Linked DNA regions of Bombyx mori. The protein of the gene in region 2 purifies or fractionates together with the protein of the main gene of each other region. This does not show direct contact. Links are inferred from orthologs where the notes say so. Each region holds a gene or a part of one and is shown on either strand. Other genes may lie near its edges.

Region 1 (3,657 bases), on a different chromosome or scaffold from region 2:
AGTGTGGAAGATTTCATACTCCTCCGTCCGCTCAATTTTCGTAAAAAGGGATACAAAGTTTTTGCTTCACGTATTAATATATAGATAATCAAACTGCGCAATAGACGGTATTCCGGCGCTCCGCAGTTTTTACGCCTTAATAGAGAGTCTATCTATCGACTGTTCCCGCTCTATGGGTTAAAAGTTTAATTCTAAATAGATAACGCTCTTTTTTTTGGCAGTTTTTAATTGATGATATAAAAACATTGCCGTAATATCAGAAATTATGCGTGTTATACAATCGACTTTTTTATTGTTATTATTGTATTGATTTACTAGCTTTTGCCCGCGACTTTGTCCGCGTGGAATAGTTCCAAATAATGCTTTATTTTAGAACAAATTTGGTTAGCATCAAAACGTTATAGTGAGCCAATCTTAACATATAGACATATGCTGTCGTGGACTTTTTTTTAGATCTTTTAAAGGGGAACATTTCTGTCATACATTACTTTAGCGAAACTTTAAGCGTTTCAGCAGCGCACGCAGTGAAAGCCCTCAAAAGGGAAAAAGCCCCGATTTTGAAACATTCTTTATTGGTGCTCCGCCTGCATTGGTCTTAGTGTGATGTTATATAGCCTATAGCCTTCCACGATAAATGGGCTATCTAACACTGTAATAATTTTTCAAATCGGACCAGTATAGTTCCTGAGATTAGCGCGTTCAAACAAACAAACTCTTCAGCTTTATAATATTAATATAGATTGGTTACCGGAGCACACGAATATCGACAACGCGAATTCCGCCAGCGACCTTCAACCTTTAGTTCTAAGTCTCAGTTCTGTAATAAAACAGCTGTCCGACCCTTCAAAACGCATTACTGCTACGCGGCAGATCTAGGTATTCTGGTCGTATCTACCCATGTGGGCTCATAAGACTCTCGAGCAGAAATAAAAACGTTTTCCTAGAATCAATTTGTTACAACGCAATGCGGCAGATCTAGGCATTCTGGTCGTATCTACGCGTGCGGGCTCACAAGACGCTCTAGCAGAAATAAAAACGTTTCCTAGAATCAATTTGTTAGAACGCAATGATAAATGTATGTGTACTGTACAAACGGGTCAATGAACGCATACCTCCTTGACATTGAACGCAGAACAACATTGATTGCTTTAAACTCTTCCTACTCGCGGCCGAGTCTGGCTGAAAATAATTCTTCTAAACATTTACGAATTTGTGTAACCTCTAAATATAGAATAGACTTTCAAATTGAATAGGAAACTGTTGAGACAGATGACATACTAACGTTTTGTTTGGCGTAGCATAAGTTAACAGTAAAAAAAAACAATAAGCTAACTGTGTTTTTAAAGAAAACTAAGTAAAAAGCGAATAACTGTGCTATGTCAGTTAAATTTTGTTGAAATGGAAACTTTTACATTACATAGTTACAGTTTCATATTTTTTTTTATTTATACTGTATGAATGACGCGAGAAAAGGACGACGATAATTGACACCAAATTATTTTTATCTGCTTGTCTACATATTGCGGTTATTCAAACATTACGCAATTACCATTCGATCAACTGAACTAGTTTGTAATATCGCACCTTTAGAATTGCAGTGGCTAAAAACTAAAGTGGAAGTCAACTAAATTTTTTTAAGAAAATGAATTAAATACTTCGAACGGCTTATAGAAACGTGTTCTATCAGTTAAAAAAATTAATCGTAAAATGCGAAAGCCGGTTTGGTGGTAGGGAGTCTTGTGAGCCCGCACGGGTAGGTACCACCACCCTGCCCATATCTACCCTGAAGCAGTAACGCGTTGCGGTTTGAAAAATGAGGCAGCCGTTGTACTGTAAAAAACGGAGACCTTAGAACTCATGTCTCAATGTGAGTTTTACGATGTCGATGTCTCTGGGACCCGGTGACCATTTAACATCAGGGGGGCCGTGAGCTCGTTCAAACATATAAGCAATTTAAAAAAAATGTCGTGGTAAGAACCCGGTAAATAATAGCGTCTTTAATAAGAACTCCCGTTTCAAATAAATTCGTGTTATTTATTCCGAATATAACGCTGCCTCCGTTGTTTTGTACACAATAAAAATAGCCACAGAATACTCACGCCACACCATACTACCATGAAACCCGTTTTTATATGAACGAAATTGAAAGTTTAAAGCTCATTTGTATATCCAAGGTCGCGTGTTAATTTAATTCTTATAAAGGCGCCTGTCTCAAACGAACACGCAGGTGGTCGCGAATTAAAGACTTAACAAAACCATTTAATAGATTCGCGTAATTACTATTCGTAAATTATTCGTAATTCTGTCGCGAAGCTATTTCAAATAGGGAATAATTTAATGTACATTCTGTTTTATTTGTTGTTTATTTGTGCGCGATGCAATCATTGTCTGTGGCGTTTAAAAAATGCACATATTTTTAAATCGACGAACAGATGAGATCACGACTCTCTTGATGTCATTTGATTACCTGAGTCCGTGAACATCATACTGCTGCGATATTTGACGGAAGTGTCAATTATTATTATAGCTTTATTTCCACTTAATGCAACTATATAGGTATATGAGATTATAAACTACTTATTTCTTCTTTGTTATGTTGCCCCTTCTTGGGTAAAAGCCTCCTCCATGCTTTTTAACCATTCCCTGTCCTTGGCCAAATGCATCCAACTTGTTCTTGTTATATCAGCAGTCTTTATAATATCATCGAAAAAGTGTCAATACGACTGTTCTACTATTGTTGGAACTGGTACGTAAGAATGTTAGGCAGAGAAATACGGTATGCTAAGAGTCGAAGCTAGGGAAAAGGTATTTGAGTGAAAGGGTATATAGCCCATTTTGAGGCGCTGCTGTTTATACCGGTAGTATGACATTTCGATATAGCGGCACGACACGAGAACCCTCTCTCATCGTGGCCGCCGGTAACTAAATTCCCGAAATATAATCTCAGTAAATTTCAGGTTATTTACTGAGACTTTTTCAGTGAGCTTTTTGGAGGATCCCGAGAAGCTATGTCCAGCGGCTTTGTTTCAGTTTCCCACATTTATGCACTTTTACAGATATTAAACAGTCAATAAACCACCGTTATTACACATTTAAACCTGAAGAAACACTAAATAGACAAAATAAAACAAATCACACAACTTCACTCCTCACGTTCCCGCCAAAAAGTCCCCTACTTGCTCGATGAATCTAATATAACGCCTCGAAATTACCAGAATAGGTAGCCAAAAAAAAGAATCTTACTCGTTCTCTTGTGGATCTTACCTTCGTTGATACCTCCGTGCAATCCGGATAACGAAGCCCTTCACGTTTGCAGAATTTAGCGGAAGCAGAATACGTTGTAGCGGTTTTCATGTACATGCGCCTGATCGGATGGCCTGCAGAGCGCATCTCCATACTGACCACATATAACGGGCAGAAACATCTCATCAGGGACGTCATAGATAAGCGATGTGCCGATAATCCACTCATCGGTCGACCTCACAAGGTGAGTCTTATGATCTGTTTCTATGTTGTTGTTTACTTATTAATAAACTTTAAAAAAAGAGGAGGTTATCAATTCGAATGTATTTTTTGTGTGTGTGTTTTTCATTTGTCCAAGTCAAGCGATTTCTATTTTTTTATTTTTATTTGATGCTTCTCATGTGTCATGACTAT
Region 2 (4,422 bases):
GGAGTGACAAGAATGGACAAGACAAAGAATGAGTATATCAGAGGAAGTTTGAAACAAGCGGACGATTAGCGCGGTATGGACATGTGATGCGTAGAGAATTGAGGCATGTGACTAGGAGATCTATGGAAATAGTATGAAAAAGGTAGAGGAGGAAGAGGTCGACCGAAGAAGACATGGTTGGAATGTGTGAACGACGATATGATATGAGAGAGACGAGTGAGTGTTGAGATGATGGCTAATAGAAGAGAATGGAAGAGAAAAATTAGCTGTGCCGACCCCACCTAGTTTTTTTTTTATTTCTTAGATATGTGGACGAGCTCAAGCCCACCTGGGTAAAGTGTGTAGTGGGATAAGGTGGAGAAAAAGATGAAGAAGAGAAGAATTTCAATGTAAATTTACACACTTTGTTTTAGTATATTCATAACATCACTTGAAAACAATTTAATGTATGTGCTAACTCAATAAACTCTTGACTGGAAAACTGGACACAATACGAAGACATGGAGAGTATCATAGAACAAAAAATTACCATCATAATTTCACTTCCTTTGAGGTGAAGTTAGAAAAGTCGATATTTAAATAAAATTCAGACTTGTAATTAACGTCTGAAGGTAGCATTCGCTCTGTAACTGACATAATACCAAATTACAAGCCAAACGTTTGACAGAGTTTATGTTATCTCAAGAATATGACTAATGCTAGTGACAAAGTTATCAAACCCCTTACCCAGAGTCTTTATACATTTACTTTAAACGCTTTAGTCCTTATATTATGCATCCTTAAAATCAATCATCTTTATCAATGTTTTGGATAATATTTATTATCCTTTCACATGTTATGTCCGAATCATAACCATCTTATTTCTTAATTTGATGTACTTTAGATTACTTACACTAGTAGTTTCGGTTTTGTCTTTCGTTTCAGTTTCTTCACCATCTTTGTTCAGTTGAAGAGTTTCCCCAGCATGTTTCTGCAGCCATGAGTCATCCGACCAGACAGGTCGTGTGGAGCCTTCTTTAATGCGTTGCGGAGCTGCTATGTTCACTCGTATTGTTCTACCAAATAGTTCTGAATCATTCTAGAAATAAATAGTTAGATTACAAGTTAAAATGAGAAAATATTACTAAGCATGTTTAAATTTTTTTAATTATGCATTCCACAATATGTCTATATTTCTAGGGTCATCTATGTCTCTATGGATGTCATTTTCTAGTAGATTAATAATTTCAAACCTATTTTATAAAAGCTTATTTACTGTGTATATAACTTTTTTCTATTACAATATCCTACACTTTAGTTATGAATGGCAGTTTGATAATGTATTAAGCTAATATTATATTAAACATTTTAGTGTTAGTCAATTAAATAAATTATTAAAATAATCAAAATCTCCTTTAATCCGGAATTTAAAAAAAAAAACCTTTGAAACATGACGTGTATAAATATATGTGAAACAATATTTTATTTACTGTAATAATATGTATTACAAATATAATTATAATATCAGTAAAAAGTATTTTCCAATGATGAGGTTTAAATTACACACAAATAATTTTAATTCTCCCTTCAATACCTTATATTGAGGGGTGAAAGGCTATTTGTTTTAAGTGACATATTTTTTTATTGCCGTATAGGCAGACAAGCATACAGCCCACTTGATGGTGAGTGGTTACCGTCGCTCATGGACGTCAGCAATGCCAGGGGAAGAGCCAAGCCGCTGCCTACAAACATTCGGACATATTGACATTTTTGGAACTTAAAGGCCATTTAAAGTTTAAAATTTGGAAAAAATACCATAACAAATAAACTTCTTTAGCTTTTTTAATGGAATAAACTCAATTAAAGAGCAATTAAAACCATCAAACTGTTCTTGCTAATACCAAATAAAACACACCTTTAATTATGAAGATGAAGTTGTGTATTAAGGAAAATGTTGCTTATACCAAATAGCATTTCACTCTTCAATATAGATTCCTTTAGCTATGGTAGGTTTTGCTTGTGATAAGTATGTACAAACTCATGTCACCAGGTTTATGTAATTACAAGACAACAGCCATCAGAATGTGAATGCTGCCACCCACCTTGAGACATAAGGTTGTAGTTTCAATTGTGGTTATTCCACTGGTGATGGCTACTGTGCCAATCAGAAATCATAAATAAACATGTTGGTGGCACCTACCCCTTGGGCTTACAATATACCCTACCATCTGTAATAAAAACTCGGGGACTTCCGAGTTATAACAACAATAATAACACTTCTTCACCTCTTACTATATTCACAATGGACATTTAAGACCGAAAAAATGTAAGAATTTAAAATGTCAGATATTATTGTATAAGTAATAAATATAGACTTATATATCTTATTTGTCCAAAAATAATTCCTGAATGTAATTTCACATTCTTTAACGATAAACAAAGATGTGTACCCTTCGTTTGTACCAAAATGAGTATTTTGTATCATACCTATGGACTAGAACTGAAAGAATCCATGTCCAGCATCTGCCATGTATTTCACTGTAAAAGTACTGACCATGTTATCAATCGCTGCGGCAGCATCCTCAGCGTTTTCGAACTCTATGAAAGCGAAGCCCCGATGCTTCTCAGTCTCATAATCCAAAGGTATTTGAACATCAACCAAATCCCCGAAAGGGATGAAAGCAGCGTTTAAAACTTTCTCGTCGACCTCCTCAGCTAGCCCTCCAACGTATATTGTCCGCTTAGAATTAGGCTTACTCGACATTTTCACGTGTGTTTATATTAAATTATTCGAAATTTAAATGAAATTTAGGTACATAGCTAACTATTTGTGTGATAGCGCCGATAGCGGTTTGTTTATATCAAACATAACCTCAAAGAGAATGACAATTCAAAAAGTCAAATGTCATTTTGTCAAAGGAATTCATAGACCTATAGGTTTCCTACTTCATTGAAGGAATTAAAATAAACAACATAAGTAATCACTTAATATCTTTGGATTCAATGATTTTCAAATAAACAGTTGATTTTTACGTAATTTAAGGTAAGCTCAGAGTAGCAAATTACACAAACGATAAATATCTCATTCTCAGTTTCAAGTATGATAAAATATTTTCCTATTCGATAGTGAGATATGTAACAAAATAGTTTTCTAGTTGTTTTTTGATTTAATCTAACTAGTCACGAATTAATTTATTGGGAATATCGGCATTTCTCCTTTTTAAACAGGAATTTAAGATTGCTCTATAGCAAAAATAGATAGAAGAGTTCGCCATTGGCGCCGTCTTGCAATCTTTGTATCTGCCACCAGTATATACCAAACAAAAGCAGATAAGAAATTAAACGTGAGGTAGAAACGAAATCCGTTCTTAAAGACGGATGAATAATAAAAAAGTAAAATGGAAGGGAGCTGAAGGGGGCTGGTATACTTACTGGTTAATATAATTTCAACTAGGTATACAGTATAATTACAACTAAATAATCATTACATTACCTTACCAAAAGCCCTGTAATATTTTATAGCAAAAGGAAAAGCAGTGGAAACCGTTAAGGTTATCATTAGGAAAGAGTTATACTATGCGATTCTGACCTACTCAAACTCAAAATTAAATATCTCTTCGGCAGCTCGTTTCTTTTTTAAATACTGTGTTGGATAACAAAGGAACCAAACACCGGAGTGTAATGAAAAAAATGTATTTTGTATTAGTAATACATGTGAATGAAATTGAACGAAATATATGTAATGAAACGATAAGATGGACCGCAAAGTTTTTCAAAAAACTGTCAAATCTGACGGTTTTGACAGATATAGTCTAGTCCTTTAAGGTACTCAAAATAATCTACAGTTAATAAGTATTACACTTCTTATGAAAACAATCTACGAAGGTAATGGACGAATTCTTAAATGCCTCTAGAATTTTCATCTCTTCTTCAAACCTTATCCACCTAATGCTGAGTATAGGTCTCTTCAAATACACTCCATTATTCTAGGTCTCTTGCCTATCGCATCCAGTCCAGACTAATAATAATCCAGAATGTCCATCAAGAACGACCAGCTATTGAAGGGGTGGTGGCCTGCGGATTATGACGCCCGGTGCATTCGGATCGAGCGCTGCGTCCAAGCCAGTAAAACTGTAAGAGCCTATAATAAAAATCAAACCTGCGAAAATTATATAATGCGTAATTACTAATGGTAGGGTGACTTATACGCCCACAAGAGTAGGTAGCAACACTCTGATTTTTACTGCCGTGAAGCAGTAATGTGTTGGTTTTAAGGAACAGCCGTTGTACTGTAAAAATTTAGACCTAGAACTTATGTCTCAAAGTGGATGGCGGCTTTTACGTTGTTGTTGTCTATGGGCTCCGGTAGCACATAACGACAATTGGGCCGTGAGCTCGTCCGTCCATCTTCAGGCTGCCTGAAGTTCAAATCAGTTCAGTTTA
Region 3 (3,657 bases), on a different chromosome or scaffold from region 2:
TTGTTGTGGAACTTGTGATTGGCACCTCAGGAAGTATTTATGTGTTGAAGTACCGCCAGCGCACCATAGGTGGAGCGCGAACTAATCGTTCATATAGTCTGCTTGTTAAAAACAATTGGTATTTGTATTTATTGCTGCCTTGTGTTTTCGGTATTCACAAGCGAAAATTGTGTTGAGTCCGTATTTCGGAGGCAGCGGCTTGGCTCTGCCCTGGCATTGCTGAAGTCCATGGGCGACAGTAACCACTCACCATCAGGTGAGCCGTGTGCTCTTCTGACTACAAGAGCAATAAAAAAAAAACAAAATGACTTAGAGTATGTAGTTTGTGTCACAAGACCTTTACTAAAATGCATCGGTACTCGTTCGCAGAAACCCAAAATTTAGACCAAAGCTGAAGGCTACCTGTCCATGATCCCGAGGAGCTGCTTCCTCACGTCCTGGGCCCGCTTCAACGTCCTGATCTGCACGAAGTTTTCGTAGCACCACGCGTTCGAGAACTTGTTATTCCTCCAGCTGTTGTACACGGCCAGTAGCGTCAGGTGGTCCCCTTCCGGCTGGTTGAACTTGGCCTTCTTCTGGTCGGCAAGCGCCTGCTTGTCCTTCGGCCGATAGAAAACGTTTTGGACGCTCAGCATCGACACTATTGTGAGTATTTCATCCGAGCACTGCAGGGCCACCGACATGATTAGGATCTTCGATAGGTTTGGCTCTAGTGGAAATTCGGCCATCTGAAAATAATAATTGGGTTCATTAAACTTGAATTGAGGGTCTGCCTATTTTTTGAGATGAATTGACGATATTCACATTTTGCTATCTGTGAGTTCATGTAGATCTGTGAGTTCCTGAAGGGGAGTAAGGGGAGATCGGAATGCTACCTTCACCGGCCCTATTGTCAACCCCACCTGCACGCGCCGGATGGCGGCGGCAACCAACAGGTTGCCGTGGTGCTCCCTGCTAGAAAACTAATAGGGCAATGGCGACCGAGCAATGGCGGTATAACCGTACACACTCATCAGGACAACCTATACGGAAGAGGCATCAGAAACCTTGGGGATCAAATACCCCCTAAAATGCTGGTGCAGAAGGCAACGGGAAACCACTGCACTAATTTCCCACGAGAGTCATGAGCAGGTCGTATCGTTAGCAAATAACGTTAGCTTGTTATAGGTTTTGCTTACCAGCCTTTTGCAATGTTAAGTTATTTAAAAAAAATTTTTAAGGGATTTTATGATCTGGTAACTAAGACCTTTAAGTCATGTCTTATTTTAATTTATATTCATATTTTTATGAAATATGATAATATGGAGTGAAATGAAATGAAGGTGATTAGTTTGAGACATTAATCAACTGGGATGAAATTAAATGAGATGAGATGATTTGGGATGAAATATAATCTTAGTAAGGTGGTGGTCATTTACTGAGATTTTTTTCAGTGGACTTTTTGGAGGATCCCGAGAAGTTACGTCCAGCGGCTTTTGTTTAATTTTCCCACATTTGTACACTTTCACAGATATTAACCATTAATAAACCACTGTTACAACAAATTTAAACCTGAAGAAACACTAAATAGACAAAATAAAGCAAATCACACAACTTCACTCCTCGCGTTCCCGCCAAAAAGTTCCTATTTCATTTTTTTTTTATGACCTGGTGACAGAGACCTTTAGGTCAAACTTCATTTATTGTTCAATGCAGGTACAGATTATAAGCTAATATCATGACATGACATCTCAACGTACTCTGCGTCCCAGCCTCGTCAGGAGTCCCTCAGAGTCGAGCGCCGACAGCGAGTGCAGCTGCTCCAGCGCCATGATGAGCGACTCGACCGGCGGCGCGTCCATGAAGTCGAAATGCAGCAAATCGTTTATACCCATTGTTTTCAATTGTAATACCTGAAATTTACTATGACTTGTAAAGGACAATGCCCAAAAGTGGGCCAACTTTGTGCCAAAAAAAAAACATTTCTCTTAAACCTGGGTGAGAATATAAAAATGATTTTCTGAATATGAAACGATATTTCTTTGTCTATCAAATGAAATTAAAACCATCATGACCAGACAACTTTTTTTTAGGGGCCCAAACGCCCAAAGAAAATGGGCATTGTCCTTTATTAGGTGGTAGGACCTTTTGAGTCCGTGCGGGTAGGTACCACCACCCTGCCTATTTTCTGCCGTGAAGCAGTGTGAATGCGTTTCGATTTGGAGGGTGGGGCAGCCGTTGTAAGTATACTTGAGACCTTAGATCTTATATCTGAAGGTGGGTGGCGTATTTACGTCGTAGATGTCTATGGGCTTCAGTAACCACTTAACACCAGGTGGGCTGTGGGCTCGTTCACCCATTTAAGCTATAAAAAAAGATCCCCCCCCCAGTATTTTTTTATTGCCTTTGTAGGCAGAGGAGCATACGGCTCACCTGATGGTGAGTGGTTACCGTTGCCCGTGGACCTCAGCAATGCCAGGGGCAGAGCCAGGCCGCTGCCTATACCTTAATACTCTCCACAAGCCTCTTTTAAAGAAGGATATGTCATAGCGCTCGGGAAACACCGTGGAGGGGAGCTCATTCCATATCCGGATGGTACGTGGCGCTGTCGATGAACGCAGCGGTTCCAGATAATATGGATGAGCTCTGGTCCGCTGGCGGGAGGTGCGAGCATGGCGCGGCACTCACGGTGGTGGCGAGGTTGGTCCGCTGTATCTCGGGCACGGGCGTGGGCAGCATCTCGTCCCGGTAGGCTCGCTCCGTGTACAGCCGGTAGCACTTGCCCGGCCCGGTGCGGCCCGCCCGCCCGGCGCGCTGCTTCGCCGCCGCCTGCACAATGTTGTTCACACTTACTCTAAACGTTACCACCTACTCAATCTCACTTAGCTTTTTTAAGGGATTTTATGACCTGGTAACTAAAACCTTTAGGTCAAGTCTTATTAATACGCTTTTATTAGCTTCAGACGTACGTATGTTACTATATAACGGAATTTTTGAACACGATTTTAACCTCCTTCAGAACGTCGGATTAACTATTAATGACCGATGACAATTCAATATTTTATAGTAGTAGTATTCTGTACAATATTCTGTATATCTGAGCCTCCGGACGTGGCCGTGCCTGTTCAAGCGACGTTCAGCAATGCTGATGCTATTGTGACGTAGTAAGTAAGCACTTATATACACATATATCGTTTTATTAGGAGAGCAGTAATAAATCATACTCAGAAGTGATCAGTCGTTAAAATACCCTAGTCCCATCCTTACACTATTGAGCTTCAACCAGATGTCGACGGATCAGCAAGTTCACCAACAGACAACATATATTGTATAGAAGTTAAACATATCTATACTAATATATAAATCTACAGTGGTTTTTACGGATGTTCCGTTATAACTACTGAACCATGCATCAGATTGACTTGAAACTTGGTATCCATGTAGAAAATACATGTACTTAACGGGTAGGCTAGTATTTATATGAGTGTTGGACTCCCTACACTAGTTGCGGGGGCGTTAATCATGAGAATCTTTGTGGGGGTGAGAAATAATAATGTTAATTTTAAATGCCCAGGGAAGTGGACGGGTACAGCTAGTCACTTTATCATTTTAATTCAGACACGAATCATCTGTGTATTCTTATGATTATGAAATTTAGGTGACAGATTAATTTGGTCA

Evidence for each region. Proteins that work in one complex are often made in the same cells at the same time.
Region 1: the proteins of peptidyl-prolyl cis-trans isomerase (region 2) and RNA helicase aquarius purify together in Homo sapiens (affinity purification with mass spectrometry; 5 studies listed by BioGRID and IntAct, counting the BioPlex papers as one, with this or other methods). This does not show direct contact. The link is inferred for Bombyx mori from reciprocal best matches to the Homo sapiens genes PPIE and AQR.
Region 3: the proteins of peptidyl-prolyl cis-trans isomerase (region 2) and ATP-dependent RNA helicase DHX8 purify together in Homo sapiens (affinity purification with mass spectrometry; 3 studies listed by BioGRID and IntAct, counting the BioPlex papers as one, with this or other methods). This does not show direct contact. The link is inferred for Bombyx mori from reciprocal best matches to the Homo sapiens genes PPIE and DHX8.

What each region holds. Positions count from the first base shown.
Region 1 is NC_085131.1:6,768,215-6,771,871, reverse strand, and holds part of RNA helicase aquarius, read left to right. Parts: intron 1-3,316; coding exon 3,317-3,487; intron 3,488-3,657.
Region 2 is NC_085121.1:14,019,374-14,023,795, reverse strand, and holds the start of peptidyl-prolyl cis-trans isomerase, read right to left. Parts: upstream 2,899-4,422; 5' UTR 2,744-2,898; coding exon 2,534-2,743; intron 1,079-2,533; coding exon 893-1,078; intron 1-892. UniProt on the Homo sapiens protein: Involved in pre-mRNA splicing as component of the spliceosome. Combines RNA-binding and PPIase activities.
Region 3 is NC_085116.1:15,840,539-15,844,195, forward strand, and holds part of ATP-dependent RNA helicase DHX8, read right to left. Parts: intron 2,809-3,657; coding exon 2,668-2,808; intron 1,893-2,667; coding exon 1,740-1,892; intron 729-1,739; coding exon 403-728; intron 1-402.